Linked DNA regions of Cricetulus griseus. The protein of the gene in region 1 binds, or shares a complex with, the protein of each later gene. Links are inferred from orthologs where the notes say so. Each region holds a gene or a part of one and is shown in the gene's direction. Other genes may lie near its edges.

Region 1 (9,430 bases):
TTGCATTAAAATTATCCCTAGATAATTGGATGTAGTTGAGCTCTAATATGGTTCGAATTTTGAAGAAAGTTAAGACATTGTATATTTATGGAGCAAAATGACCCCTATTAATGGATATTTCAGTAAGCTTGTTGTATTTAACTGGAAGTGTAAAAACAGTCGTTCTTAGGTAACTACATACTATCCGTAACATAAATTCTGGTCTTTGTTGCAAGGACATGTAATACACACACATTTAATAAATAGAAGTTGTCACATATCTTTGTACACATATAACACATCTTGAGCCTCTTTGATACGTCCGTTAATCTGCAGTGGGTTTAAGGATGGTTGCCAATCCTTTACACAGCATGTAGTCTTCTACATTTTACATGAAAGAAAAGCAAGGATCAGATACTGACTTGTTTGTTGGAAGTAGGAAGTAGATGGATAGTTCTAGCACCTATACTGGTAATACATTAGTTTCTCAGAATGTGTCTTTTCTGTAGCAACAGATCATAAAATCAGTGTCTTAAGAACATCTTAGCCTGTACTCCTTTAGAGTAGTAAAATCTTCATAAGCATACATTGATATTTGGAGTTTTGAAATGGATGGTGACAGGTGATTAGCAAAGTTTGTTTTTTGAAATACTAAGAAACAAATCACTATTTTTGTTTATATACAGGTCTTGAAAGGTTGGTTATGAATTTCTGTGTTCTCTTTAGGTCAGCAGCCTTGTTTTACATATTGAAGAAGCCCACAAACTCCCAGTAAAACACTTTACTAATCCATATTGTAACATCTACTTGAATAGCGTCCAAGTAGCAAAAACTCATGCAAGGGAGGGGCAAAACCCAGTATGGTCAGAGGAGTTTGTCTTTGAGTAAGTCATATTTTATCATATTCAATCTATTTTTTAGAGTCATATTTCCTCCTGCTGTTTACATATAAATTACCTAAGATCCTGTTTGTCAGGTGTTTTAATAGTATTTTTTGTTGGGTTTGCTCATCTTTATTAATAAAATGCCTTTGGATTACTGAAAAGTATTGACAAAATGTGTTCTATATTTTCTAGATCTTGTTTTAATTGGTTATTAGTGGCTTAAGAAGTTTAAGATTACTGGGGAAATGTAGTTATCAAGTATTCTTGTCTAACTGGTTATATAAAGCTGGTATTAAATGTAACACACTAAATTTTTAACTAATTTTTTTCCTTCTTTCTTTAGTGATCTTCCTCCTGATATCAATAGATTTGAAATCACACTCAGTAATAAAACAAAGAAAAGCAAAGATCCAGATATCTGTAAGTTGATTAAAAAAGCTTTCTAAAGTAATGAAAGCATGTTGTGTGTATTTTTAGAATTTATAAATGAAATGTCTTAAGATGGAGATGAAAAACATGCTGTGCAGTCTACTATTGACTGTTCAGAGGAGACTATTAAAGTATATGTACTATAAACCTTATAATTTGAAATATACAAATCTACTTTCCCTTCTCCCAAAGAATAGGAGAAGAAACTGGTAGTGGTGATCATTTTTCGTTCTCTTTCCTTTTTTATCTTCCCCTAATTTCCTACACTTCAAATATTAAAGGTTCCATTCAGACTAGAGATGTAGCTCCATGGTAGAGTATTTGTCTGGTATGTAGTGGCCTGGAGACTAATCCCCAGCCCTGCAAATTAAAAAGATAGGATGTTTAGCTGTGCTATTTTTTTTCTGTTGTAATATCCAATACTCTGTTCCTATTCTGAGAAGCACACTTCTTGTCCTGTTGGTAGGACAGATGGCAGTGGGATTTAGTGATTTTTATCATGGTGAATTAGGTTAATGCCTTCTTACAACTGAGGCTTTTGGGGTAAGCAGTGATATGTACTGACAAATCAAAACCTGAAGCTCTCTGAAAAAAATGTTTATTCTGTAATTGCTTATATTTTTAAGTGTTTTTCCAATACTTGTATGATAAAAATCCCAGTTTTTTAGAACAGAAAGAAAGCCATACTTTCTATTTGGATTGTGGTCTTTATTGCTCTACCTTTTTTACCTACCTACCTAATCAATTCACAGGTTCCTTTTTTGGAATTGATTTTTAATGTATCTTTGTATTATCCAGGGTTGTAGCACTTACACTGCATCCTCTTTGACAGCTTAAGACATTCTCCATGCACGTCAGACACCATGTCTTAATCATTTCTTAACTCCAGATCCCCAGCCTATGACAGAATGTAATGTAGCAGGTCTAGTAAATGAAAAAAATAACCAAACCAGTTAAGTGTTTTGTGATGTTATTGAAACTTGGTTAATGAAAAGCTTTTAACACCATAGAAAACTGTATTGAGAAAATGTAATTGTATGAACATAGTGGTTTTTCTTTTGTAGTATTTATGCGTTGCCAGTTGAGCAGGTTACAAAAAGGACATGCCACAGATGAATGGTTTCTTCTCAGCTCCCATATACCACTAAAGGGCATTGAACCAGGATCCCTGCGTGTTCGAGCACGATACTCTATGGAAAAAATCATGCCAGAAGAAGAGTACAGTGAATTTAAAGAGGTATTACATTAAATATAAATGTTATTTTTTTGCTTGTTTTCGAGACAGGGTTTCTCTGTTGTTGCTTTGGAGGTTGTCCTGGAACTTACTCTGTAGACCAGGCTGGCCTCTTACAGAGATCCGCCTGCCTCTGCCTCCCAAGTTCTGGGATTAAAGGCGTGCACCACCAACACAAATGTTAACTATTTAATAAGAATCCATAAAGCTAAATAGTAGCGTCCTAGATTAGTAGCATGCTAGTAGCCAGAGGTAAAAAAAACATGTAGTGTGATTTTGATCCTATAAGGCTAGAAATATATAGGCTACAAACTTACTCCATTATTAACTATTGCATTCAGTAGATGGTATTCTTTCATCATCCCATTGGTGTCCAATGATACATAATGCTACATACTTTCAGCAATCTTTTTTGATGTCATTTTTAGCTTATACTACAAAAGGAACTTCATGTAGTCTATGCTTTATCACATGTATGTGGACAAGACCGAACACTACTAGCCAGCATCCTACTGAAGATTTTTCTTCATGAAAAGCTTGAATCGTTGTTGTTATGCACACTAAATGACAGAGAGATAAGTATGGAAGGTAATATATGGATGTGTGTGATATTCTTAAAAATATAAAAATGTTTGATTTTTATGTACCAAACGTGGGCTCTGTCTTTAAGTGTATTAAACTTGCTAAATCATTTTACAAATTAGTATCTGAGATTCTTTGTTTATTATGGGAATGGGTTGCTATTTCTAATTCTCTCATGGCAGATTAAATACTAGAAGCTGTAAGAAAATGATTTCTTTAACCAGACTCAATGTGTGATTATCATAGGATTTATCATATTACCTCAGTTTTTACTTAGCAGTCTATGAAATATCACCCCTATTTTATTTCTAGACTTATAGCAGTCCGAGGCTAAGGTACATTATCACTGCTTTTCACAGCTTCCTAATGTATTTATTTCTCCTCATCGATATTTATGTAAAAAGTACATTACTGAAGAAAAATAATTTCCAACAGTACAGTTCTGTTAATGTAATCTGACATCCATTTTTTGTGTAGATGAAGCCACTACCCTATTTCGAGCTACAACACTTGCTAGTACCTTGATGGAGCAGTATATGAAAGCCACTGCCACACAATTTGTTCACCATGCTTTGAAAGACTCCATTTTAAAGATAATGGAAAGCAAACAGTCATGTGAGGTAAGAATTTGTTGTTTTAATCTTTGCAGCAATAACACATTTTAATGAGAACTTTTAACAAATTATAGTTCCAAGAAAGTACATTTCTAGAATTTGTGAATGTAGTTATGCCCTCTATAATAGATTTATAACCCCCCCACCCCACAGCTCTTTTGGCATTTCTCCTAATTTCTACTATTATTGATCAAGTGTACCTTATTTAAGAAAAGGTAAACAAACTGAACATTTTTCTAGGGCCTTTGTTGTACATGTTGTATTAAAAAAGCTATTTTGGGACGATAGTATACACAATAAGGTATCTTTAAGATGAAACATAAGTCTAAGCATGAAATACATTTGTGACTGAAGTTCATTTTACATGAGTTCTAGGAGGCTTGTGTTATGATTTTGGCTCATCATGTGAAGTCAGATGTGGAATTTCCCATTTGTAGTGCCATGTTGACACCCATGTCACACCTAAGGATGCTTGCCTTGTAAAATGTAACATCTTTTCCTTAGAGGGCTCTATGGGTAGTTTTGTAGAAGATCAGGATTAAAAGAAAATGAAATAATCTTTTGAAGATGATTAAGTTTCAGTGTGAGTTTATATGCAACCATACAGTCATAAATCATGCTTACATAACTATTCTATTTCATGGATGCTACAGAGCAATTACAAAGGAAGGTAGTTTACATGTTTAGGCTTGCTGGATACAGTGTTAGTAAAATAAGGAAATAACTTTTGTTAACAATTGGAGCTGTCAATAGGTAATCCCATTATTACTTACTATGAAAATTGACAAAAGCTGATGAAAGTCCTTCAGATTTGTAGTTACCTCTGGCAGATCGGAACACATAGATTGGGGGTGGGGTGAACTTGAAAAGTTCTGAGAAAGGTTCACCATCCTACTTAAACATTTTGACTATTTTCCTTAGCCCCTACTTTGAACCTCATTAAAAAGTTTTGTTTTATTTTCCCTGAGATAAGTAGAACTGAGTAGATTAACTGGGAATGGGTGTTAAGCAAACCTATTGAATTTGAGTGTGGAACAGTTGACAGCTTGGAAAAAAATAACTGCTTGTTTACCACAATTTATCTGAAGCTATCATCACCAAAATGAATTTGTATTGGTTTGTTCCTTCCTGCAGTTAAGTCCATCAAAGTTAGAAAAGAATGAAGATGTGAACACTAATTTAGCACACCTATTGAACATACTTTCAGAGCTTGTGGAGAAAATATTCATGGCTTCAGAAATACTCCCACCGTAAGTTGTCAAATTGTTTGCAAAAAAAAACCTGACTAATGTGTGTTTTCTAAGTTTTCTTTTAATGAATGCTTTCTTTGATATAATCAGGTTTTTAATACTTAAACGATGGATTATGAACTTTGTGCGAGTGGTGCGTGCCTTTAATCCCAGCACTTGGGAGGCAAGAGTAGGCAAATTTCTGAGTTTGAGACTAGCCTGGTCTACATAGTAAGTTCCAAGACAGCCAGGGTTACACAGAGAAACCGTGTGAACCCCCCCCCCAAAAAAAAAAGATGAATTATGTTTAAGGAAAAAAGAGTAAACAAGTGAAATAACTGCTAAAGCAGCCTGAGTAAAATAGAGATAATGTAGTACCTGCCTATATTCCCAGTATTGGAGTGTAGGCCAGCTCCTGTCTCCAAAACCGGAAAATAAAAACATATACATTTACAAATTAAACTATTTTTATATGGACTGAGTAAGTTTGGCTTATATTGTAGCTTAGGGAGTGAAAGAATAATGAGTCAGATCTGAGGACAATATCTGTAAATCTAGTTTCTAGTCTTGCCTAACATTAGATACCCAGGAAACAAAAAACAAAGTCAAATAGGTACACAAGATACCAGTGTCATGTCTGCTTACAAGTCAGTATGAATAAACTCACTTGTTTAGATGGAAGAAGTCAAAATAATAGAACACGTGCCACATTAATTCCTCTGTATTTCATGTCTAATAACTTGTTTTATACTTTTCATTAACACAGAAATTAAAATCAATGGAGCCAAACTTACTGTATTATGTTTCTACACCTCTTACTAAATGTCCCTCTCGTTAGTTTTGGCAAAATACCTTTTTGAGATGAACAGGTCAAATGGTATACTGGTTGGGTAGATTACATATGGTATACTGGTTGGGTAGATTAAAATTTTGGTTGCCAGTAGATTATCATTATGATATTTACTTTCTGTATTGAGATGTTTATGTTATTTTGGCAGGACACTGAGATATATTTATGGGTGTTTACAGAAATCTGTTCAGCGTAAGTGGCCTACAAATAACACCATGAGAACAAGAGTTGTTAGGTAAGAGTCACTCTTTCATTTGTCATAGTCATTGTATGCAGCACACACTGATTTGTGTATGTAGGCAGAGATAGAGGAATTAGTGCTTGGAAAAGTGCAGTAGTTGAACCATCTAGGTTTTAATTGTCTTTTAACATCTTTAATACCAGGCTAATCTCCAATCATACCGTCTAGTTCTGAAGCTCTCATCTAGTCTGTTTATCACATTAGAAACTGCTTTGGCAGCTAATGAAATTTGAGAGCTCATATATGGACTTAAGCAAATTTAGTTAAGTTAGGAACCAAACAGAAGAACCAAAGCAAAACTCCTAAGACCACCCAATATGATTGTTGTTCAAGGATTTTGTTAAACATATCTCAGCCACTACAAAGTGACTAGAAATTTAGTAGAAATGTATCAAATACAGTTTTCTAGTAATTTTGGAAAGTACATATTACCAGTCACTTCACATGTGTTTTTACATTTATAATGTCAATTTTGTTAGCAGGCTTCTACTTTTCTTGCAGACAGAATTTCTATTAGTGGCTTAAGGGCATAGCCCTGAGATAAGGCACTAGGTTAACACTAAGAGGGCCTGGATTTGATTCTACCCTAAATAAAACTCTACACTAAGACACACTGAAGAACTGTAGGAAGAAAGAAAAATTAAAACATGCTATTTAAGCTGTTGTGTGATGGACATTTAAACTGTTCTGTTAAACTAATACAACAGGGAATCTGCTAATTGGATTTAATGTGACAAGGTGCTTTAAAAGTTATTCATACCTAAAGTCAATTTCTCTTCCTTAGTTTTAAATTGTGTAGCAGTCATGTAATTTAATTTAAAATCACCTTAAAGTTGAGAAATATTTTCTCACTATTTAATGGTTCATTAATTGCCAGTTCAGATTTCTAGTTAAGTATTAAAATACTTTAAGTAAACCTTAAGTATTAAAATACTTTAAGTAAACCTTATCTAGGAGACTTCTTTAAGAAGAAATATAAAAAAGGTTAAGTTATTAATTTCTGTAAGTAATTATAGAAGGAATTTTATAAACTGTGAGGACTAATGCTTGTCAAGGTTAATTATTAACAACATATACTTAATACTACTGACTGAAAAAGGCAGAGGAGGATATCCTTATGAGCTTACATTAATGATAGAACTTTCAAGTGTTTGTTGTGTGCATTGTAATTTGTCAAGGACTCATTAATTGTTACAGTGTATTCCAATATTTATAACTTGTCAGCAATATTGATACAACTATCTTAATTCATTAAATAAACTTTGAAAGACAAGCAAGAAAGTAGGTAATTTGGAACCTTATAGAACTGTTACTGATATGTAAAATGTGTATTCAAATCCTCATAATCTTGTAGCTGTTCTCAGTGTTTTAATATACTGATTCCTCTAACAACAACAACAACAACAAAAAATCCAAATTACTAATCTTCAATAAGCAGCTAAGAGAGTAAGTGCAAGGTTACTTCCAAAGGAAATTTGAAATTATGGTTGCCTTAACAGCTTTCTTAATGACTTTATCTGGCTTCCTCAAGTTGAAAATAAACATGGTTCTAAGTTTAATTTTTATATGTTTGCATTTTAAACATAGTTTTCTAAAACAATTTTCCCTTTCAATTAGTGGTTTTGTTTTTCTTCGGCTTATCTGCCCTGCTATCCTGAGTCCTCGGATGTTTAATATCATTTCAGGTAATTACCTTTTAGTACACTTTGGAATGGGAAAAGCTTCAGTACTGTTATTAAAAAAAAAAAATACTTGCACTTTAAGTCAGAATTTAAAAAACTAAGACACAAATAAAGGGCACTAAAGCACTATTCCCTGCTTTTTTATTCTTTTAATATCAAAGATGTTAGATTTTTTTTTCTGGCCTTGTGACTTTTATTTAAAAAGTTTGCATTATATTTTTTAAGCACATAAGTGTATGCGTACAGGCATTTGCTTGTCATGATACGTATACAGGGGTCAGAGAACAACTTCTGGGAGATGATTGTCTTTTCACTGTGTGAGTGGCTAGCATTCAAATCAGGCCACCAGGCTTGGTAGCACTGAGATACCTTGCTGGCTCTTGCACTCCCAGTGTTTGCAGGTTAGGAAGTCCTCCTGTCCATTATGGAAGTTTTCAGATTTGTAAACTTAAGAAAATTATAATATCATAATGAGCCAATCAATATTAATGGAAGGAAACGATCATTTTTATACTAATAATTTGAAGCTCAAAGCTGTATTAAAAATGATTTGAGCTGGGAATGTATTATGTAGTCACAGAACTTAGGAGGCTAAGGCACAAAGAACAGTCAAGGCAAGCCTAGACTACTTAGCTAAACCATGTCACTCAGCACAATGGTATGAACCCACATGCAGAAAGTTGTCTGAAAGAGTTCCCTGGATCTTCAAAACAAACAAAAGACCCCATTTTTTCAACCTTATTTCATACTCATCACATTCCTCTAATTTTCATTACTACTGAAGTGATTAAATACATGCATATTAAGAATAAAAGACTGGGGCTGGTGACATGTGTCAGTAGTTAAGAAAACCAACATCCTTGTCAGGTGGCTCATAACCGACAAATCTATAGCTCCAAGGCATCAGACACCCTTGCACATACCGTAGCTACATACAAATACATATAATTTTTTTTTAAGAAAATTGAATGAAAGGCTTAGATTTTGTTCTGAGAGTTCTACCCAAACAGTGGCTTAAACTGCCACTTCAACAGTATTTAAACTTGAGTTAAATTTTTACAGTATACTCTAAACAGCCAGAATATTATGAGTTGCTGTTATTATTTTGGGCTGGGGATGTAACTAGGTTGGTAGAATACTGGCAGAACATATGTGAGGCCCTGGGTTCAATCAGTCCTTGGTACCTGGTACCTGGATGTGAGAAAGGGGAGGAGGAGGTTAGAAATCTAAGGTTGTCTGTCTTTGGAGTGAGTCTGAGATCAACATAGGTCAAGAGATTAAAAAAGGAGGGGGAAGGGGCGTGTCAGTTTGTTTCGTAGATACAAATACTTTTCATTTACATTCCATTTTCTATGTTCTACAGAGATGTTTTTCATGAGCTCAAAAACTGATCTTTAAGGGAACTATATGTAGTTACTAGCCTGCAAATGTTAGGAGTAGGGAATTGCTAAGACTGTAAAATGCTCCCCTAAGTGGGTTGAAATTAGCTTTGTGAATTGTCCCGAAAGTTTTGTAGAATTACTGTCTTCTTAGCCATAAAACAGCTTTTTGAGATATTCTCAGCCAACTGGGGATTACCCAGTTTGTAGTTCACAGAACAAGAAGCACTTACAAGTATATTCAAATTTTTTCCCGGTTAACTCAAGTTCTTTGGAATTAGGTCATGCATTTTTTAGGACTATTCTGAGTATATTCTGAGTAAAGGA
Region 2 (9,882 bases), on another chromosome or scaffold:
GCATACAAAGGACAGATCCTACCTCAGGCAGGTTGAGAGGAGACTGAAGAACTCTAGCCTTGAGTGGGGAGCCATACGCCATCACCATCATCAGCTTCCCTTCCAGCATCCCAATATGCCACCTCCTAGTCTTCCCTGCTGCAACATCAGCTCTTGAGTAAGAGACTTCTTGTCTGCTTGAGCACAGGCCTCAGCCAATAGTTACAGAACCCTGGCCCAACAGTGCCATCTGTGATCTCAATGCCTGGGGATGCTTGTGTCACTTGGGTTGCTGGCAGGGACCCCAATGGTGGAAAGGTAGGGGGTACCTAGCGGAGGGAAAGCTGGATATCAGCAGAAAGGGTGCCAGTATGTCACCTCATGCAGACCCATGGCGGAGCCTCAGGCCCAATCACTTACCAGCCGAGCAGGGGAAAGGTGCTCCTTCACCCGCCGCTCCCTGTGGATATCCCCATGGCTGCCCAGTCTCTTGTTTTGTGGGCAGGGGTTGTTTAGGCCCTGCCAGCTCAGCTCCCGTACCCGGATGCTAGCTGTGCCTGGCCGAGGCCCCTGGGATCCATCCCAGGCTGGGTCCATCTACATCCAACCTGTTAGGAGAGGCAGAGGGCCAAATCTCCTAGTTTACAAGGCTCTAGTTCACATCAATGGCCCACAAAGCTGCTAGGTCAATCTCCCCACATCCCAGCCTGACTTGGCCTGGCCTGAGGGGCCCTGGGCAACCTCAGTGGTCTAGATAACTGGACAGCACCTGTCCACTTCCCTACTTTCAGCTGAAACTTCCTGCTTATGCTAACAACTTCTCTCCCTTTGCTTCTGTAGTTTGGAAAAAAAAAGAGATGTACTTATCCATTTTATAATTTGTGTGTGTATATGTTAATTGTTAGTGTGTGTGCATATGTGTATATGTGGAGGCCAGAGGACAACTTTGGGTGCCATTCCTCAGATGCCCTCCTCCTTTTTTTTTTTTTTTTTTTTTTTTGAGATAAGGTCTCTCACTGGACTGTGGCTCACCAAATAGGCTAAACTGGCGTGCCAGCAAGTCCCAAGCACCTACCTGTCTGTCTCCCCAGTGCTGTGATTACAATCTCACACTACCATGCCTGACATCCTATATGTGAGTTCTGGGGATCAAACTCAGGTCTTCATGCTTACAAGGCAAGCAATTTACTGTCTGAGCTATCTCCCTATTCCTTTATTTGTTTCTGTATTTGTTTTCCACAGTGTCCATGCAATGAGTACTGGCTCCAGGCTTTGCCATCTTGGGCCTCATAAAAGCTGTGTATTGGGGCTGGAAAGATAGCTCCATGGTTAACAGCATATGGCTGCTTTTGCAGAGGTCCTGTGTTTGATTCCTAGCATCCATACTGGGTAGCTCACAAATGCCTGTAACCAAGGGATGGATCAGCTGCCCTCTTCTGGCCTCTGAGGGCTCTTGTACTCTGTGGTACACACATACACTCACACACATGATAAAGAATATTTTTTTTTAAGGCTGTAAGACTAGGGACACTGGGCAAGATGTCTGTATCGACCAGCAGCCACCCACCTGTAACTGACAGTTCCCCAGGCTGCCCCAGACCCTGGCTCTAGATCTTTCTTCATTAATGGTCTCTTAAATCTAGGTTCAGGCTTAAGATAGCAGACATTCCCTCCAACACCCCCTTCTCTGATTGAGGTCCCACCTGCAGGTAGCTGGCTCCTGCTGTAGGTCAAACATCCGGGCAAGGGGGCCACATGTGTCTACATGTAATACCTGTAAGAGAGAGTTAGATTAGCTTCCTGGCTATGTCACTGTGCTTGGTCTGTAGACCTGGACTGAGCTGGCCAATGTCAGCTCAGAAGCAAGTAGGTACAGGAATGGAGTGCTATTAGCTGGGGGCCTGGTCCTGAATCCCTTGTAACCATTTTAATGGGGGATAAGGTTTAGATGATGACAACGACAGTCAAGGGTCCTTCTGGGTCACCCAATGCAAACTAAGACACGGTCCTCATCCAAACTCTGCTGCTTCTTCAACTCCTAAAGGGGTGTGTGGTTCTGAATCTTCTGTAGGCCCGCCTCTCCTGAGCTCCTCCCCATACCTCTGGAGGAGTTTTTTCAGGTGCCTCTATACCTCTGGCAACAGGCTCACCTACTGTTTCTCCTTAAAGATACAGAGGTCTGTGTTTGGCTTCAGACCTTGAACTCAACAGTCTTTGGGCTGTAGTGAGAACTCTGCCCAGAACATTCTTCTTGGTCACCATCCCGTCGTCCCTGACCTCCATCCAGGTTTGGCCGACCTCTAACTCCTGCACTTCTTACCTGTCTTTCCCAGATACATTTTTGTAGTAAGAGTTACCTCTTTCCACTGCACTTCATGGTTTATTGCTTACTCAGTCCAGTGTGTCTTGCCCCAAAAGATGTAGGCCCCACTCCAGGTTTCCCCTAGCACAAGGGACATGAAGAGGCAGCTCTCACCTGAGGGGTGGGCCAGGATGCCCGAGACCAGGGGCCCAGCCCTGGACCCCTCCACCAAGGCGGTCGCTCTCTCAAGTGAGGGTTTTTTTTATTTTTTCCTCCGCGGTGGGGTTGCGGCCCTGGCGCCATGGCAACGGGGGCGGGGCCTCATTTGAATACCCAAATATTCGTGAGCCGCGGGCATCCGGGGCTGCGGCAGGATGAGCCCCGCCCCCTAGCAACGGTTGCCGGGACACGCGGCAGATCCGGTGGCAGGGTTCCCCTGAGTGGCAGGCAAGCGAGACGGATGAGAAGACGCCCACAGAGGTTCGGAGAGTTGCCCGTGAGAGGTTTCTGTCCCGCTCTGGGTTATCTGACTGCTGGCCGCATCGGCCGAGCCTAGCTCTCACCCCGGGATACACGTGAGCGCGCGTCCCCAGGCCTGCATCACCTGAGAAAGCCCTGTCGGTTTTCTAAGGAGGACGTTCTTACTCGTTTCTTTGAAATTTTCAAAAAGTTGCAAACATGTCATTTGCGTCTGACACAGATGTACCCTACTTGCATGAGTGGATGGAACATTTCATTTCGCCCTAATACCAACTTTTCTGACTTCCGGGGTCGTTCTTCAAATGGGGCACAGTATGAGCTGCTGCAGGGTTGGGACCTCGAGTTTTGGGGGAGGTAAGGGAGGGTCTTCTCCAAAGCACAAGGAGCGCGGTGTGATGGGCCGATGCTGCCTCGGGATGGGGCCTTCGCTACACCTCGGCCTCCGAGAACAGGCAGCTTGGGGTTCCGGCGGGTTCTGCCTTCCTCTGGTATCCCGCGTCCGCGGTGCTGACTGTCCCCGACGCCAGGTCCCGGTCGGAATGACCTTTCCGCTCCCAGGGCCTTTGGGCCTCTGGAGCGGCTGCAGAGTGTGGGCTCTGTGGCAGGCCCCGCGACCCAACCCGAGCGTACCCCAGTTTCTCTCCGGAGGAATCTCGGGTTCCCTCATTCTCTTCCGCACCTCGGAACTAGGCGTCACTCATTTGAGTGCAGTACCCAGGTCGCGACAGCGCTCTCTCTGCTACTCCAGGAAGCCCCGCCTAGCTGCGGCTCCTGACGGATGGGTCGCTCAGCCAACCACAACAGGTCGCGGTGAGGCGGAGCTCGACCAATCACCGACTGTCTAGAGTTGACGGACGGGGCGGAGCGGGGCGGGGCGAGCGCGGGCCCGGCCGAGTCCCCGCCGTCCGCGCCCGGCGCCCGCAGCCCGAGCCGCACCCGCCGCGGACGGAGCTCATGCGCGGCCCAGCCAGCGCCGGTCCGCGCCCCCACCCTGCCCCGGCCCCGGCCCCGGGGGCAGTCACTCCAGCAAGCGGTGAGTGCGGGCGTGGGGTGGGGCGCGGGGCGCAGGTGATCGGTGCTTCCCCTCTCCTCTCACCCCGGCAGCGTGCCTAGCGCCCGGCTGCCCGCCTCTGCGGCCCGGCCCGGCCCGCCCCGCCTGTAGCCGCCCTCCCGGCGAGGCGCCGCCCGGGCCTCCGGAGACTCTGCGCCCCGCGGCCATCACGCTCCGGCCTCGGGGCTACAAGGACACCCGCTTCAGGCCCCAATCAGGGCCTTCTGTTCCCCAGTCACCCCTCGCGCCCCTTGTGAGTCTTTCCCGCAGTCACCTGCTTCCCACACCCTCAGCCGCTTTTCCACCCCTGCTTGCTGAAGGCTCCCTGGCCTCTTGTGGAAGGTCTGTCTCAGCGGAGGGCAGGGTCCCTCTCCAGCCACCCTTCCCCCGCTGCCCGGACCGCGCCTGGCATGCAGTAGGCGCTCAGTAAATACTTGTCGGTTGCACCCACATGCCGGCGGGCCGGAGCCGGTTGTAGGCTGGCACTGGCCTGCCTGGGCACGCTGAGTCCGCCGTGGCAGGACCTGTTTTTGGGGGGTGGCCTCAGCCCTCAGGCACCTCCCGTTGAGGCTTTCTGCCTACCTAGCGACTTCTAATTTGGGTGCGTGGTTGGGAGAAGCTCTCAGCTGTCAGCCCTGCCTTGGGGGCCTCTCCCTGCTTCCTCACACAGCCATTAAGTGCTGGTGGAGGAGGTGGGGGGCCTCCCTGTCCCAGCTGGAGGTGCCACAGGTGAGTGACTGGGCCACTGTGGTGGCTGGCCTGCCTGCTCAATGCTGGTTAGGGCCTTTGGGTCAGGCATCTACTAGCAGTCTCAAGTGGCCCGGGCCTGGATAAGTGTGGCTCTCATTGGCAGGTGGGGCAGGAGCTCCTGGAGTGGCAGCCTCTATAGAAGCGATGACAGAATACAAGCTCGTGGTGGTGGGCGCTGGAGGCGTGGGAAAGAGTGCCCTGACCATCCAGCTGATCCAGAACCATTTTGTGGACGAGTATGACCCCACCATAGAGGTGAGCTCTGGCTACCTGGCTCTGGCAGTGGTCATGGAAGAGTCAGGAAGGCCCACATAGCTAGGTCTTGCAGGTGGTATGGGTCTGCTGCCACCTAATCTATCAGAACATGAGAGGTGCAAGGGTGGGTGGGCTCTGTGGATTCTCTGAGGAGAGGTGGAACGCCTAAGCTCTGTTTTTTTTACAGGACTCCTACCGGAAACAGGTGGTCATTGATGGGGAGACATGTCTGCTGGACATCTTAGACACAGCAGGTCAAGAGGAGTATAGTGCCATGAGGGACCAGTACATGCGCACAGGGGAGGGCTTCCTCTGTGTGTTTGCCATCAACAACACCAAGTCCTTTGAAGACATCCATCAGTACAGGTGAGCCACCTATGGCTAGCACAGGTGAGGAAGGTTCCATGTGCACACTGAGGGTTTATGTCTTCTGAGTGTCCTGGGTACAGCCATGCCTGTAACCTGCTAGCTGGCTCACATACTCCCCATCCCCTTCCAGGGAGCAGATCAAGCGGGTGAAAGACTCAGACGATGTGCCAATGGTGCTGGTGGGGAACAAATGTGACCTGGCTGCTCGAACTGTTGAGTCTCGGCAGGCCCAGGACCTTGCCCGCAGCTATGGCATCCCCTACATTGAAACATCAGCCAAGACCCGGCAGGTGAGCTTGCTCCCCACTCCATAGCTAGTCAGGGATTCACCCCACCCCACCCCAGCCAGGGAGCAGAGCTCATCGCCCCTCTCCCTCAACACAGGGCAGCCGCTCTGGCTCTGGCTCCAGCTCCGGGACCCTCTGGGACCCCCCCGGGACCCATGTGACCCAGCGGCCCCCATGCTGTAAGTCTCCCAGACGGCAGGGCTGTGAGGGAGGCAAGGGCCAGGGTCTGGGCTTATGCCCTGCAGTTCTGGGTTGACACAGCGCCAGGGCAGGAGGGGGTCCATGGAGAGAGCTGCCCTGAGCCAGGCCGGAGCGGTGACCCAGGAGCCTAGTCCTTCTTGTCCTCATAGTGTCCTATGAGTACCTGTTAGTTTTGAGCCCTAAGTATGGGCAGGGTGTTCAGACCTGAGCCATACTGGGGGTCTGGGAGAGTTCTGAGTCGAGTTGCTCTGAAGGATATTCCAGAGTGAGCCTACTTAAGGAGAGTGGTCCTGTGCCTTTTAGATGTGCAGAGCCCAGCTCCCTATTTGTGTTGGTTGTGCAGCCGAGGAAGGGTTGTTTTCCAGGGTTGGGGTGTTACCTGATCCAGGCAGGGAGTTTCTTACCCAAACAGCACCCCTTTCCTCCTTGGAGTCCCCTCTGATCCAGTCCCTCTGTTCCCAGGGTGTGGAGGATGCCTTCTACACACTAGTACGTGAGATTCGGCAGCATAAACTACGGAAGCTGAACCCACCCGATGAGAGTGGCCCTGGCTGCATGAGCTGCAAGTGTGTGCTATCCTGACACCAGGTGAGGCAGGGACCAGCAGACATCTGGGGCAGTGGCCCCAGCTAGCCAGATGAACTTCATATCCACTCTGATGTCCCTGCTCCCCCCCATCCTGCCAATCTCCCTGCCTGAGGTCAGTGGTGTCCTTTGTGCCCGTCCCGGCACAGGCTCAGGACGTGGAGGTGCCGGATGCAGGGAGGAGGTGCAGACGGAAGGAAGGAAAGAGAAGGGAAGGAAGGAAGGAAGCGATGCTGGAGCCAGTCCAGTCCAGGGATGGTGGACAGAGGTGACCAAGACCTTCGCATGGACAATTGGAACAGACTGTGTCATGAACTGTCCCTATTGCCACTGGCACCCCAGTCCTCAACCCCTCTCAGTTCCCTTCGGGTGCCTATGGGGCACAGGTTGAATTACAGTAAATTATTTGATGGTCTTGACTTGTCTCTGGCTGGGAGCAGGAGGTGTAGTGCCTGTGGCCTCACAGAAGATACTGGGAACCTGAGATTCATCATCTGCCTTCTTCCTGTTTCTGAGAAGAGGATGGGGTGGCTAGCCTGGGACCCTGGACTGTATGGTCCTTCCCTTCTGCCTGCCCCAGCTGTCTTGTGTTTCCTGCAGAAAGCTATATGCAACACAAGAATAATCAGGTGATCTAAAGAGTGACCTATTGTCCTTTAACTAATGGGAGGAGGAGGGCTTAAGAGTAAGGGGGCATCTCTTGTCTCCAGCAGGAAACACATTTCCTGCATTCTGGGATCCATGAAGTATAGCCCCAAGGATTGCAGAGTGTAAGACCTGCCCCGCCCCAGTATCCTGCAGCCCCCTGACCAGTGATAGAGATTCTAGGACTCTGAAAATAGGACCTCAGTGTTTTCTGTGTGGCCTCAGACTTCTGTCCCATCAGTGCCTAAAGCCTAGCAATCTCAACTCCCTGAGAGGGTAGAAGCTGCCTTACCAGTTCCTACCACCTCTCCAGTGTGTACAGATGTTCTCCAAGTCACCTGTATGGTCTTGAGAGACACATGCCGGTCAGGTAGCTGCTCACTGCTCCCAAAGGGTGTGCCATGCCCAGGGCCTCATTCTAGCACTGGTCATGGCTACAGGAGGGCCCATCTCCTTATCCTGGTCCTCATCCTGCCTGCTGGGTCCCTTGGTGTGTGCACTTTACTCTCTCAAGTGGAAATGGGTGAACTCCTCTTTTGGAGGACACTTGCAATATAAGGAAGCTCCTCTAGGCAAAATATAGGGGCTGCTGCTGAGTGGTTAGGCAGTGGGACACCATGCTTGCCCTCTTCCACAAGAGCCAAATGTTCAGCTTCCCTGTCCATGTGTATTTGAGGCTCCTGAGGTATCATCTGGGGCTTCAGTGGCTCCTTTGGAGCCATGTTGGCCATGCAGGTGGGTTGAGGACAAGGCCTGCTATGCCAGTGGTTGTCTTTGGCCCTGTTTGGGGGTTTTTAGTAGGTTGGACATTCTGGGCTATGATTGTAAGGGTGGACAGGAGCTTAGTGTTCCTGCTGGAAGCAGTATGATGGAATCAGGGGCAGAGCTCATGGGGCCTAGACATGCCTGTCCTGGGAAGGGACCTCAAACTGGAGCTAATATGGGAAGAATGTCACATTCTGTCCTTCAAAACTCCACAATGGAGGCCTGAAGGTACTTTAGCATTGTGTGGTTCAGCCTGAAGCAGCATGTGCTAGAGAGAGACTTCGGAGGTTATTCAAAGGTATGAAGTTCGACTTTGGGCTGGACCCTGGAAAAAGGTTATTGTCCATGTCCTGCCTGTGCCCAGGTCCATCTTGCTAAGGCTACTGTACCTTTCTGTTTCTAACTCTGGTCTTGTTTTCTACATAAGACTACAACTAAAGAGAGATCCTGCCAGGAAAGCACCCTCAACTCTTAACTGTGGTATGGGGGCTGGGCTTAGGGCTTGGGACAATGCCTTGCCCCCTGCTCAGCTGACAACATCTGGTCTGGCCCACTCTTTGTGGTTGGCTCACTCAGGCCTGGAGAGGTAGACAAATGGTTGTTTTGAGTGTGGCCCACACCTAGTCAAGGTCTGTATTGGATACCTGAGAAGTGACTTCCATGTACCTTGAAGGGTGTTTTTGTGCCATGGTCATGACCACAACCTCATCCTCCAGGTGTGACCCTGGGGTGATAAGGGGCTTACCAAGACTCAAGAGTTTCCCTGGTTCTCCTGCTCTGGCCAGTTCTGCCAATGGCACTGGTTCAAACTCTGATGTGTGCTGTGGCTTCTGTGGCAGGAAGGCAGGAGGTCTAGGGCCTAGCTCATCTGTTGGATATGGGCTCTCCTGGCCTTCTTAGAAGGCAGGGGAGTTTCTGGTGCAGTCACACCCCTAGGCTGGAAAACTGGCCCTGTGCCTGTCTGCACTTCATTGCTATAACACTACAGGAGCCCTGGACAGTCCGTGTCTCTCACTGTCCTGATAGAGGAATGGAGTTCCTCTGGAACCCCTGCTCATAATGGCCCTCAAACCTCTCTATCCCAGATCCAGCCCAGTGCCTCCCTTATACCTTTTTACCTCATTCTCATAAGCTGGGAGCCAAAAGGCAGTGGCTGGAACCATATGTGGAATCCTGAGAGCCTATAACCTACAAATAGAGCTTATTCCAGAGGGGTCGAGCCATAGGTTGAAGATAGTAGCAGGTGTCCCAGGAACCTGAGGCTTCCCCTCAATCCACTCAGTCCCCATTATGCAGTTGCTGCCTCAGAAAAGGAAGAAAGAACACCCACACAAATCCCAGCTAGCCTTGCTGCCTTGCTATGCCCTGGTTCCTGACAGGCAGGCTAGCCTTTGAGGCCAAGGAAAGACGATGACAGATAAGATTGTTTTTTTTGTTTTTTTGTTTTTTTTGGGGGGGGGGGTTCGAGACAGGGTTTCTCTGTGTAGCTTTGGAGCCTATCCTGGCACTCGCTCTGGAGACCAGGCTGGCCTTGAACTCACAGAGATCCGCCTGCCTCTGCCTCCCGAGTGCTGGGATTAAAGGCGTGCGCCACCAATGCCCGCTCGGCTGGCATATAAGATTTAAGCAGCCTATTGGGCTCATGAAGCTAGTAGGGGACAGGGAGAGGGATGGAGGTGTGTGGCTGCCTGTTGGGCTCAGGATCAGGAGAGGATATGGATAAGTTGATGCTGTCACCTGGATTTTGGCCATAGATGGTGAGAGCTGCAGAATAAAAGGCTGGAATATATCACCTGGTTTGCTTATGCATAGAGGGATCTTGACTGATAAGGGATATGAGTGGGTCCTTTGACAGCCCTGGGACTACCTACAACAGACAGTCCAGTGGCTCAGAACAAATAGGGAAGGGAAGGTGCTATTACTGTAAATTGCCATCACTAGTCAGTCTGGTTGTCACCTGGCCTAGCTGTTTGGTGCCATGAGAAGTTGTCTATGTGTATGCTGCTCATTAATGGCTTGGCAGCTGGGCTGTGCTCAAAAGGCATCTTCCTTATTGAGGACCATCATCAGGATGGTGGCAACCTGGCCACCATCATCAGGATGGTGGCAAGCTGGCCAATGACCAGACAGTGGCCCCTGCTTTCAGGAGTCAAAGTCATTGTTGGGGGAGACTACCCAAGAGGGTTGAGGTCCCCTGGGAGGCTGCCAAAGGC
Region 3 (9,430 bases), on another chromosome or scaffold:
CACACACACACACAAAGTCATTCAGTGACATATATGATTTAGCTGTGAGATTTCTGTTTCTTTTCCATTGGTCTATGTCTTTATGTCACTGCGGGACTGTTTTGATTGTTGAGGCTTTGAAGTGAATTTTGAAAGCAATATTGTGAGCCATCCAGAAAGCTTTATTCATTCCTTCCTCCTCCTCGTCTGTCTTCCCCCTTCCTTTCTGTAGCCAAGGCTACTCCTGAACTACTTGGCATTCCCTGCCTCAGTCTCCTGAGGGCTTCCATACCACACTGATAATGTGAATTTTGGTTGCCGAGTAAAGGTGTTGTCTGCCTTCTCCACTATAATTACTATTGAGGGCTTTTCTCTTCCTGATAATTAATAGGCAGTCTTAGGGCACTTGAGTTATCTGTCAACATCCTGCTCCTCAAGATTTCCCTGCATTTAACCTTCCATCATGACTCTCATCCGATCCAATTGTATGGGCTTTAGTTCATATTTTTTGCAGCGAGCTGTAATCCATTACAATTTTTTTGGTTCACAGATTATTCTAGACCTTACTTGTGGGATCCCCTTTAAGATAACACCATTGTCCTTGTGAAATGTCCCATTATTTTTATTTTTATTTGTACATCACATTTCTGGCTCAGCCAGGCATGGTGGGTGGCACACGCCTTTAATCCCAGCGCTTTCGGGACAGAGACAAGTGGATTCGAGCTCAAGTCCAAGACAGCAAGAACTATATCAAAAAAACTGCCTCAAAAACAAAACCACAAAAGACATTTCTTATATCCACCCTGCCTTGGAGTTAGCCACATTTCCTCCAGAGCCCTCACTTGCCACCTTAGCATTTTACAGTCTCCTTATTTATGTCTTCCTGTCTTGCAGTAGACTATACCTGTTGGAAAGCACATAGATATTAGCCTTTTGGTTATTGTCATTATCATTGTACATGGTATGTGTGTGCGCCCCGTCCTGTACAGGCATACATGTGCCATAACAGCATGTGTGTGGGCCTCAGAGGACAACTTTGGGGAATTGGTTTTTTCCTTTCTTGTTGGGATTCAGGAATTGAACGTGAGTTGTCAGGCTTCCACAGCAAACACCTGCTGTACCCTCTGAACAGTCTCAACAACTCTGATGTCAGCCTTAATCATTTCACTCAGCATAAGGCCTGGCACACTAGGTTTACTAAGTATTTGTTGGATTAAAAATCCTTTTATTGTAATTCGGTGGTTAAAATAGAGTTTGGATACTGATGATTTTTCTTTCCCGCCTCCATCTAGGCAGACATGTTGGCTATTTGGCGATGAGAAGTAGCAAGAACTGACATCATACTGGTTTACAACACTATGGGACCTGACACTTGTGCTGCTTGGGCAGCCGGCCTCCATTGGCACTGCTGAGAAGCCCTCTCAACTCTACTGCAGAACACTAATCTGATCTCGGAAGTAGCTGATTGTGGCAGGATGTTTCGAAGATGATGATGGCAAGAAAGCAAGATGTTCGAATCCCCACCTACAACATCAGCGTGGTGGGATTGTCCGGGACTGAGAAGGAGAAAGGCCAGTGCGGCATTGGGAAGTCTTGTCTGTGTAACCGCTTCGTGCGCCCAAGTGCCGATGATTTTCACCTGGACCACACTTCTGTCCTCAGCACTAGTGACTTTGGTGGGCGGGTGGTCAATAATGACCACTTTCTCTACTGGGGAGAAGTTAGCCGCTCCCTGGAGGACTGTGTGGAATGTAAGATGCACATTGTGGAGCAGACTGAGTTCATTGATGATCAGACTTTTCAACCTCATCGAAGCACGGCCCTGCAGCCCTACATCAAGAGAGCTGCGGCCACCAAGCTCGCATCAGCTGAAAAACTCATGTATTTTTGCACTGACCAGCTGGGGCTGGAGCAGGACTTTGAGCAGAAGCAGATGCCCGATGGAAAGCTGCTGGTCGACGGTTTCCTTCTGGGCATCGATGTTAGCAGGGGCATGAACAGGAACTTCGATGACCAGCTCAAGTTTGTTTCTAATCTCTACAATCAGCTTGCAAAAACAAAAAAGCCCATAGTGGTGGTCCTGACTAAGTGTGACGAGGGTGTTGAGCGGTACATTAGAGATGCACATACTTTTGCCTTAAGCAAAAAGAACCTCCAGGTTGTAGAGACCTCGGCAAGATCCAATGTGAATGTGGACTTGGCTTTCAGTACTTTAGTGCAACTCATTGATAAGAGTCGAGGGAAGACAAAAATCATTCCTTACTTTGAAGCTCTCAAGCAACAGAGTCAGCAAATAGCTACAGCAAAGGACAAGTATGAGTGGTTGGTGAGCCGCATTGTGAAAAACCACAATGAGAACTGGCTGAATGTCAGCCGAAAGATGCAGGCCTCCCCTGAGTACCAGGACTACGTCTACCTGGAAGGGACACAAAAGGCCAAGAAGCTCTTCCTGCAGCACATCCACCGCCTCAAGCATGAGCATATTGAGCGCCGCAGAAAGCTATACCTGGCAGCCCTGCCGTTGGCTTTTGAAGCCCTCATCCCTAACCTAGATGAAGTAGACCACCTGAGCTGCATTAAAGCCAAAAAGCTCTTAGAGACCAAGCCTGAGTTCTTAAAGTGGTTTGTTGTGCTTGAAGAGACCCCATGGGACGCCACCAGCCACATTGACAACATGGAAAATGAGCGGATTCCCTTTGACTTGATGGATACTGTCCCTGCCGAGCAGCTGTATGAGACCCACTTGGAGAAGCTGAGGAATGAGAGGAAGAGAGCTGAGATGCGAAAGGCATTCAAAGAAAACCTGGAGACCTCTCCTTTCATAACTCCCGGGAAACCTTGGGAAGAGGCTCGTAGTTTTATTATGAATGAAGACTTTTACCAGTGGCTGGAGGAGTCTGTGTACATGGACATCTACGGCAAGCACCAGAAGCAGATTATAGACCGAGCAAAGGAAGAGTTCCAGGAGTTGCTTTTGGAGTACTCAGAATTGTTTTATGAGCTGGAGCTGGATGCCAAACCCAGCAAGGAAAAGATGGGTGTCATCCAGGATGTTTTGGGGGAAGAGCAGCGATTTAAGGCATTGCAGAAGCTCCAAGCAGAGCGTGATGCCCTCATTCTGAAGCACATTCATTTTGTGTACCACCCCACGAAGGAGACATGCCCCAGCTGCCCAGCTTGTGTGGATGCTAAGATAGAGCACCTGATTAGTTGTCGCTTCATCAGACCATCCGATAGGAATCAGAAAAACTCTCTGTCTGACCCCAGTATTGATAGGATCAATTTGGTTATCTTAGGCAAAGATGGCCTTGCCCGAGAGTTAGCCAATGAAATTAGAGCTCTTTGTACAAATGATGACAAATATGTGATAGACGGTAAAATGTATGAGCTGTCCCTGAGGCCAATAGAGGGGAATGTCAGGCTTCCTGTGAACTCTTTCCAGACACCAACCTTCCAACCCCATGGCTGCCTCTGCCTTTACAATTCAAAGGAGTCACTGTCCTACGTGGTGGAGAGTATAGAGAAGAGCAGAGAGTCCACGCTAGGCAGGCGGGATAATCACTTAGTTCACCTCCCCTTGACCTTAATTCTAGTTAACAAGAGAGGGGACACAAGTGGAGAGACTCTGCACAGCTTAATACAACAAGGCCAGCAGATTGCTAGCAAACTGCAGTGTGTCTTTCTGGACCCTGCTTCTGCTGGCATTGGTTACGGACGCAACATTAACGAGAAGCAGATCAGTCAAGTTCTGAAGGGACTCCTGGATTCTAAGCGCAACTTAAACCTGGTCAGCTCCACTGCTAGTATCAAGGACTTGGCTGATGTGGACCTTCGAATTGTCATGTGTCTGATGTGTGGTGATCCCTTTAGTGCAGATGACATACTCTCTCCTGTCCTGCAGTCCCAAACCTGTAAATCTTCCCACTGTGGGAGCAGCAACTCTGTTTTACTTGAACTTCCGATTGGACTACACAAGAAGCGCATTGAGCTGTCTGTTCTTTCGTACCATTCCTCGTTCAGCATCCGAAAGAGCCGCTTGGTTCATGGGTACATTGTTTTTTATTCAGCCAAGCGTAAGGCCTCCTTGGCAATGTTACGTGCCTTTCTTTGTGAAGTGCAGGATATTATTCCCATCCAGCTTGTTGCACTCACTGATGGCGCTATAGATGTCCTGGACAATGACTTAAGTCGAGAGCAGCTGACAGAGGGGGAGGAAATTGCACAAGAAATTGATGGCAGGTTCACAGGCATCCCTTGTAGCCAACCCCAGCATAAACTTGAGATCTTTCACCCCTTTTTTAAAGACGTGGTGGAGAAAAAGAACATAATCGAGGCCACGCACATGTACGACAATGTTGCTGAGGCCTGCAGCACCACTGAAGAAGTGTTCAACTCCCCCAGGGCTGGGTCACCACTCTGCAACTCAAACTTGCAGGACTCAGAAGAAGACGTGGAGCCTCCATCATACCACCTGTTTCGGGAAGATGCGACAGTGCCCTCCCTGTCCAAAGACCATTCCAAGTTCTCTATGGAGCTGGAGGGAAATGACGGGCTGTCTTTCATAATGAGCAACTTTGAGAGTAAATTGAACAACAAAGTACCTCCACCAGTCAAACCAAAGCCTCCTGTCCATTTTGAGATCACAAAAGATCTGTCCTACTTAGACCAAGGCCATCGGGAGGGACAGAGGAAGTCTGTGTCTTCTAGCCCCTGGCTGCCTCAGGACGGGTTTGATCCTTCTGACTACGCAGAGCCAATGGATGCCGTGGTCAAGCCAAGGAATGAGGAAGAAAACATCTATTCTGTGCCCCATGACAGCACCCAGGGCAAGATCATCACCATCCGGAACATCAACAAAGCCCAGTCCAATGGCAGTGGCAATGGTTCTGACAGTGAAATGGACACGAGCTCTCTAGAGCGAGGCCGCAAGGTATCCGCCGTGAGTAAGCCTGTGCTGTACAGGACGAGATGCACCCGGCTGGGGCGGTTTGCTAGTTACCGCACTAGCTTCAGTGTGGGGAGTGATGATGAGCTGGGACCCATCCGGAAGAAAGAGGAGGATCAGGCATCGCAGGGCTATAAAGGGGACAATGCTGTCATTCCATATGAAACAGATGAGGACCCCAGGAGGAGGAATATCCTTCGAAGTCTAAGGAGGAACACCAAGGTAAGACCTCATTTAGGATGAGTCAGTAGGGATTTGCACAGCGTCTTGGTGAGATTTGATTGATGACAACTATTCAGGGACAACATGGTTTTAAACACACACTGGATGTGAGCGCATGTAAGCACGAGAGTGCAATTATTTTTTGGCTCTGTGGTAAGAGCCAGCCTGTGCATTAGATATCCCCTACTGGTAGGTCTCATGTAGTTAGCACTTGGATAGGTATCCTAGGTTTGCCTTTGCCTAGAACAGTAATTACCCAAATGAGCAGGTAGTGTAGAGCTCTTCAGTGTCTTGACAAGTGGCCAAGCCAGTGACACGGGTACTATTTCCTCTCTTAAAGATTGTAGATTTGCACCCCTTGGCCTGAACATACATCATCTTTATGGTTCTCAAATGCTGCTATCCCATGCTAATCACAAAAGGGTGCTTCGTTTTACATCAGCGAGAAGTGGATCGTTCTCTGCACACACAAATCTGTGAAAGTGCTGAAATGGCAAAAAAGAAAGGGGGGGGGGCCTCAGCATGGAGTTTATCCATATTTGTAAAATGAGATTTTTTGTTGTTGTTGTTTTGGTTTTTTTTTTTTTTTTTTTTTTTGGTTTTTCGAGACAGGGTTTCTCTGTGTAGCTTTGGAGCCTATCCTGGCACTCGCTCTGGAGACCAGGCTGGTCTCGAATTCACAGAGATCCTCCTGCCTCTGCCTCCCGAGTGCTGGGATTAAAGGCGTGTGCCACCAACACCCAGCTGTAAAATGAGATTTCACATGTCCCTTTCTTCATCTGTCTGCAGTTACTTCTTCCATTAGTGAGTCTCTGTACTTCAGGGAGCACAGGTATAACAGAGACAGGGAAGGAAGACCTTATAGTAGTGTTTTACATGTCAATAGGGGAGGAAATGTATTTTCTTGCTGAAGACTACAGCTTGGTGTTTGCAAGGCAGATTGCTAGAGACAGCGCCCTGTCCTCTTAGGTCTAGGCACTGAGGCAGGGAAAGTATCACCCAACTCCCCCTCCCCTCGCCGTTTGTAGTGGTGCAGTACTGTTCTGAGAATGACAGCTTGCTGAGATTCTGATAGGGATATAATAACCTATGGTCAGCAGTATAGACAGGATGGTGCTCGCTCTGCTTCCTGCCAGGAAACAGCAGAGATGAGTCGCTCACATGAGGCTTTACAAGGACCTTGGAGGGGAGTTGCTAGAAATGAATTCCATATCAAAGGTATCTGGAGTGTGCTACGGAGTACTGAGAGGTAGCAGAGAGGCCACTGTGGTAGCCCAGGGCCCTGGGAGGTGGAGGAACATGACGCCATTGGACCCTTGGGCATATAGGGTGTTCCTCAGTCACTACTGGCCAGGGTTTCCATGCCTTCTTGTCTGTGCACTGTCAGGAGGTCAGAGCTGTGTTGTGTGGGTTCTGTGCCCCTATCTCAGGTCACTACATTCTTTCCATTTAGTTTTCCCACAGCTTGTCTGTCTTGCATTTTGTTCTTCAGAACATGGAGGGAAGACCCAGTGAAAATTGTCCTTATTTAGGAAGCTCACCGACCTCCCTGTGTTTTCCCCACGCTCTCCTGTTTGATGAGAATGAATCTGAGCATTTGGAACATTTTGGCTTTCTTCCACCTCCAGTCCTGGTAAAAACAGTTGCTGGAGCAGCTTATGTGAATGCTGACAGTCTTCTGATTCGTGGGGGTGTTTGCACACCTGGGAATTAGGAAGGTGCCGTAATAGCACACTGAATTAAAAGTCTTTTTCTGACTTCTGGCAATATTTGCAATGCTGCAAATGATGCTTTGAAAACACATTGCCAGACTAGGGATGTAGCTCAGTTGATAGAGAGTGTGCCAAGCCTTTGGGAAGTACTGGGTTCCAATCCCAGCACCACATAAGATCAAGTGTGCCAGAGGCAGTCGGGTCTACAGAGTGAGCTCAGGACAGCTAGGACTGTTACACAGAGAAACCCTATCTTGAAGAAACAAACAAACAAAACCAAGGGTGGTGGTGCACGTCTATAATCCCAGCAGTCAAGAGGTAGACAGGTGGATCCTACCAAACCTAAGGCCAGCCTGGAACCTTTCTCAAAACAATCAAAATAAATAATTATTTAAAAATTGCCAAATAAGACATGATTTCTAGATCTCACTGTGGCAAAGGCTTTATTCAGTAGAAGCAGCTAGTCTCTGCGTCTTGAGCTGTCTCCCTGCTGGGCACCAGACATGTACTGTCCCCCGTCCCCGTCCCCGTCCCCCCAACTACTGGATCAGCAGGCAAGACGTAGGAGCTTCCAGCCTGTCTGAGTTATGCAGACCACGCCTCTCCAAATCAGACAAATGATTCCTTTGGCCCAAAAACTGTGGCGTGCCAGCAGTCATTTTAGGAGTTATCCTTAGGGAAGAATTGGTAGAAGCTGGCATTGTGTTTTCCTGACTTGGAGAGTGGTGTTTTGGAATGAGCAGGGCTGCTTTGTCATCCCTGCAGAGAAGATGAAAGCCTTTGCCACAGAGCAAGCCTCCTGTTCAGACTGCTACCATCGGGAATGCAGACTGACACTTGTTTTACTGGAAGAGTGAGATACCATCAGGGCAGAGAGTGCAAGCCACCCTCCGTGGGGGATTTGTCCTTTGATTTTTATTGGCATGACAAAGCAGTACAGCATTTATTTGAAGTGGGGCATGGGGAAGCATTCTGGATTTCAGCTGGTCACAGAAAACAACTCAGATCCTCCTTAAGGCCAGGCTGCTGGGGAAGGGCTGCTCACCTTCTAGCCCAGGCCATAGCACCCAGAAAGGACATTCAGTGGCTGTGAAGAGATCGTTCGTCTGCCAGGGAAGGGCTGTGGGCAGAGCTCACGTTAGGATAGCTCAGATAGAGTATTGGTCAGTATTAGCTGCCGAGGCCTTGGGAATGAAGTCCTGTGGTCACATCCCAATTCCCTGCTTTCTTATTTAGACCGTGAGCACATGGTGCCCCTCTTCTGGTTCCATCTGTAAAAGGGAACATGGTCCTTAGAGGGTTGAGTATTGTGGGCCAGAAGTTTGCGCTGTTTTCAGCATGAAACTGAACCTAGAAGAGGGATGAAGGTGGCGTATGGCATAAGGTGGCATGCCCTAGCAGCAAGTGGAGCATGGCACTGTACCAGGGAGGAGACTGCTGTGGGCCTCCTGACCACACCACTTCCTCCCCGGTGCAAGGTTTAACCCACAACGATTCAGATGCTTGCTCTGTGCTCGCCCCGGCAACCACCTTAATGAAGAGAAGCTCTGCTCTGGGTACCAATGTGATGGGGAAAAAGAAAGAAAGAAAAAATACTCAATGCCCTTGCTAATTTGCTAGATTAGTACCTTACTGTAGAACTAGAGTCAGAGAGAGGGATGCTTTCATCTCTTCTAATGAAAGTACAGACTGTAAAGCCAATGCTCCTTCTTGGGTCCTTTTCCCAACGGAACCATTCAGCAGCCCACCCTCAGTGGGAGCCTTCCGCACTCAACTGAATGAAATTGAAACTCCAAGATTGCACTTGGGCGACTGTGAATAGAGCTTTGTCTAAAGCTGCTGCTGCTCATGTCTCTGTCTCCCAAGGCTGTGCATTTGCAAAGATGAGATCGGGACCAGCAGCTCTTATTTTAAAGCCAAAAAGCAGGCCGCAGAGCCTTGCTCCACAATTGTGCCCTTGAGGCTCATTCAGTTTGCTGAAATTTGGTATGTTTGACCATGATTTAAAGGCTAGACATTATTGACTATTTACCCTTCTGTCAGATATGTTCTTACTCTTGTGTTTAATAAAAAGGCAAAACGGTGATAAAGAAAATCTTTCACTTACTGTAGCTACCACATGACAAGACAACCTATTGAAAAGTGAACTGTTTGAATCACGCATTGTTTGGTCTATAAGGCACCAAGTAACCAGTTTGACAGTTTGTGTCCCCCCAGTGAATTGGCTTATTTCATTGGATTCAGTGAATTGGCTGGTTGTTGTGGCTTTGTGTGGACACAGCTCTCGTTTTGTGAGGCCTAGAACGGAGTTAAAGTTTCTAGTGTGAATGAAAACCAGCTGGGGAGTTGGACTGCCCACACTCCTGGGAGGGATCCTGGTTTTGACAGACAAGTAGAATATGATAAGAGCTCTTTGTAACTTGGTCAGAAAAACTCTGTGTGTGCTTCTGAGCTTAGTCCTACTGAGTGAACTGTGAGACCAGGTACCTCTTCTAAAGAAGTACTTTGAAGTATGCAAGCACCCTCATCCTTTCAGGAAGGCAACATTTGGTTCAGTGCTGAGACATCGGCG

What was found.
Region 2: the proteins of Rasa1 (region 1) and Hras are in contact, whole or in part, in a crystal structure (PDB 8BOS), measured with the Homo sapiens proteins. The link is inferred for Cricetulus griseus from reciprocal best matches to the Homo sapiens genes RASA1 and HRAS. Residues at the interface, in NP_002881.1 of Homo sapiens: Gly746, Arg749, Glu783, Thr785, Thr786, Arg789, Ala790, Thr791, Glu799, Lys803, Ser833, Arg894, Gly898, Phe901, Leu902, Arg903, Cys906, Pro907, Leu910, Asn911, Met914, Arg928, Ile931, Ala934, Lys935, Gln938, Asn939, Asn942, Val944, Ala948; in NP_001123914.1 of Homo sapiens: Gly12, Gly13, Ser17, Ile21, Gln25, Asp30, Glu31, Tyr32, Asp33, Pro34, Thr35, Ile36, Glu37, Asp38, Ser39, Tyr40, Arg41, Gln61, Glu62, Glu63, Tyr64, Ala66, Met67, Lys88, Lys117.
Region 3: the proteins of Rasa1 (region 1) and Arhgap35 are in contact, whole or in part, in a crystal structure (PDB 8DGQ), measured with the Homo sapiens proteins. The link is inferred for Cricetulus griseus from reciprocal best matches to the Homo sapiens genes RASA1 and ARHGAP35. Residues at the interface, in NP_002881.1 of Homo sapiens: Arg188, Arg207, Ser209, Arg211, Val217, Asn228, His229, Phe230, Arg231, Ile241, Gly242, Tyr256, Leu262, Leu263, Lys264, Lys358, Ser379, Asp380, Asn381, Ser387, Gln397, Arg398, Phe399, Lys400, Met411, Gly412, Gly413, Arg414, His425, Tyr426; in NP_004482.4 of Homo sapiens: Ser1085, Asp1086, Tyr1087, Ala1088, Glu1089, Pro1090, Met1091, Asp1092, Ala1093, Val1094, Val1095, Arg1098, Glu1100, Asn1103, Ile1104, Tyr1105, Ser1106, Val1107, Pro1108, His1109.

The regions. Positions count from the first base shown.
Region 1 is NC_048595.1:305,205,389-305,214,818, reverse strand, and holds part of Rasa1 (ras GTPase-activating protein 1), read left to right. Parts: intron 1-705; coding exon 706-863; intron 864-1,206; coding exon 1,207-1,283; intron 1,284-2,356; coding exon 2,357-2,529; intron 2,530-2,954; coding exon 2,955-3,114; intron 3,115-3,585; coding exon 3,586-3,728; intron 3,729-4,856; coding exon 4,857-4,972; intron 4,973-5,949; coding exon 5,950-6,036; intron 6,037-7,659; coding exon 7,660-7,727; intron 7,728-9,430. UniProt on the Homo sapiens protein: Inhibitory regulator of the Ras-cyclic AMP pathway. Stimulates the GTPase of normal but not oncogenic Ras p21; this stimulation may be further increased in the presence of NCK1.
Region 2 is NC_048596.1:59,989,855-59,999,736, forward strand, and holds Hras (GTPase HRas), read left to right. Parts: upstream 1-3,640; 5' UTR 3,641-3,715; coding exon 3,716-3,794; intron 3,795-4,665; coding exon 4,666-4,817; intron 4,818-5,004; coding exon 5,005-5,183; intron 5,184-5,316; coding exon 5,317-5,476; intron 5,477-5,570; coding exon of another isoform or gene 5,571-5,652; intron 5,653-6,136; coding exon 6,137-6,256; 3' UTR 6,257-6,262; exon of another isoform or gene 6,263-6,379; 3' UTR 6,380-6,678; downstream 6,679-9,882. Other genes in the region: Lrrc56 (leucine-rich repeat-containing protein 56), read right to left, coding at 400-576. UniProt on the Homo sapiens protein: Involved in the activation of Ras protein signal transduction. Ras proteins bind GDP/GTP and possess intrinsic GTPase activity.
Region 3 is NC_048602.1:11,209,788-11,219,217, reverse strand, and holds part of Arhgap35 (rho GTPase-activating protein 35), read left to right. Parts: intron 1-1,271; 5' UTR 1,272-1,465; coding exon 1,466-5,146; intron 5,147-9,430.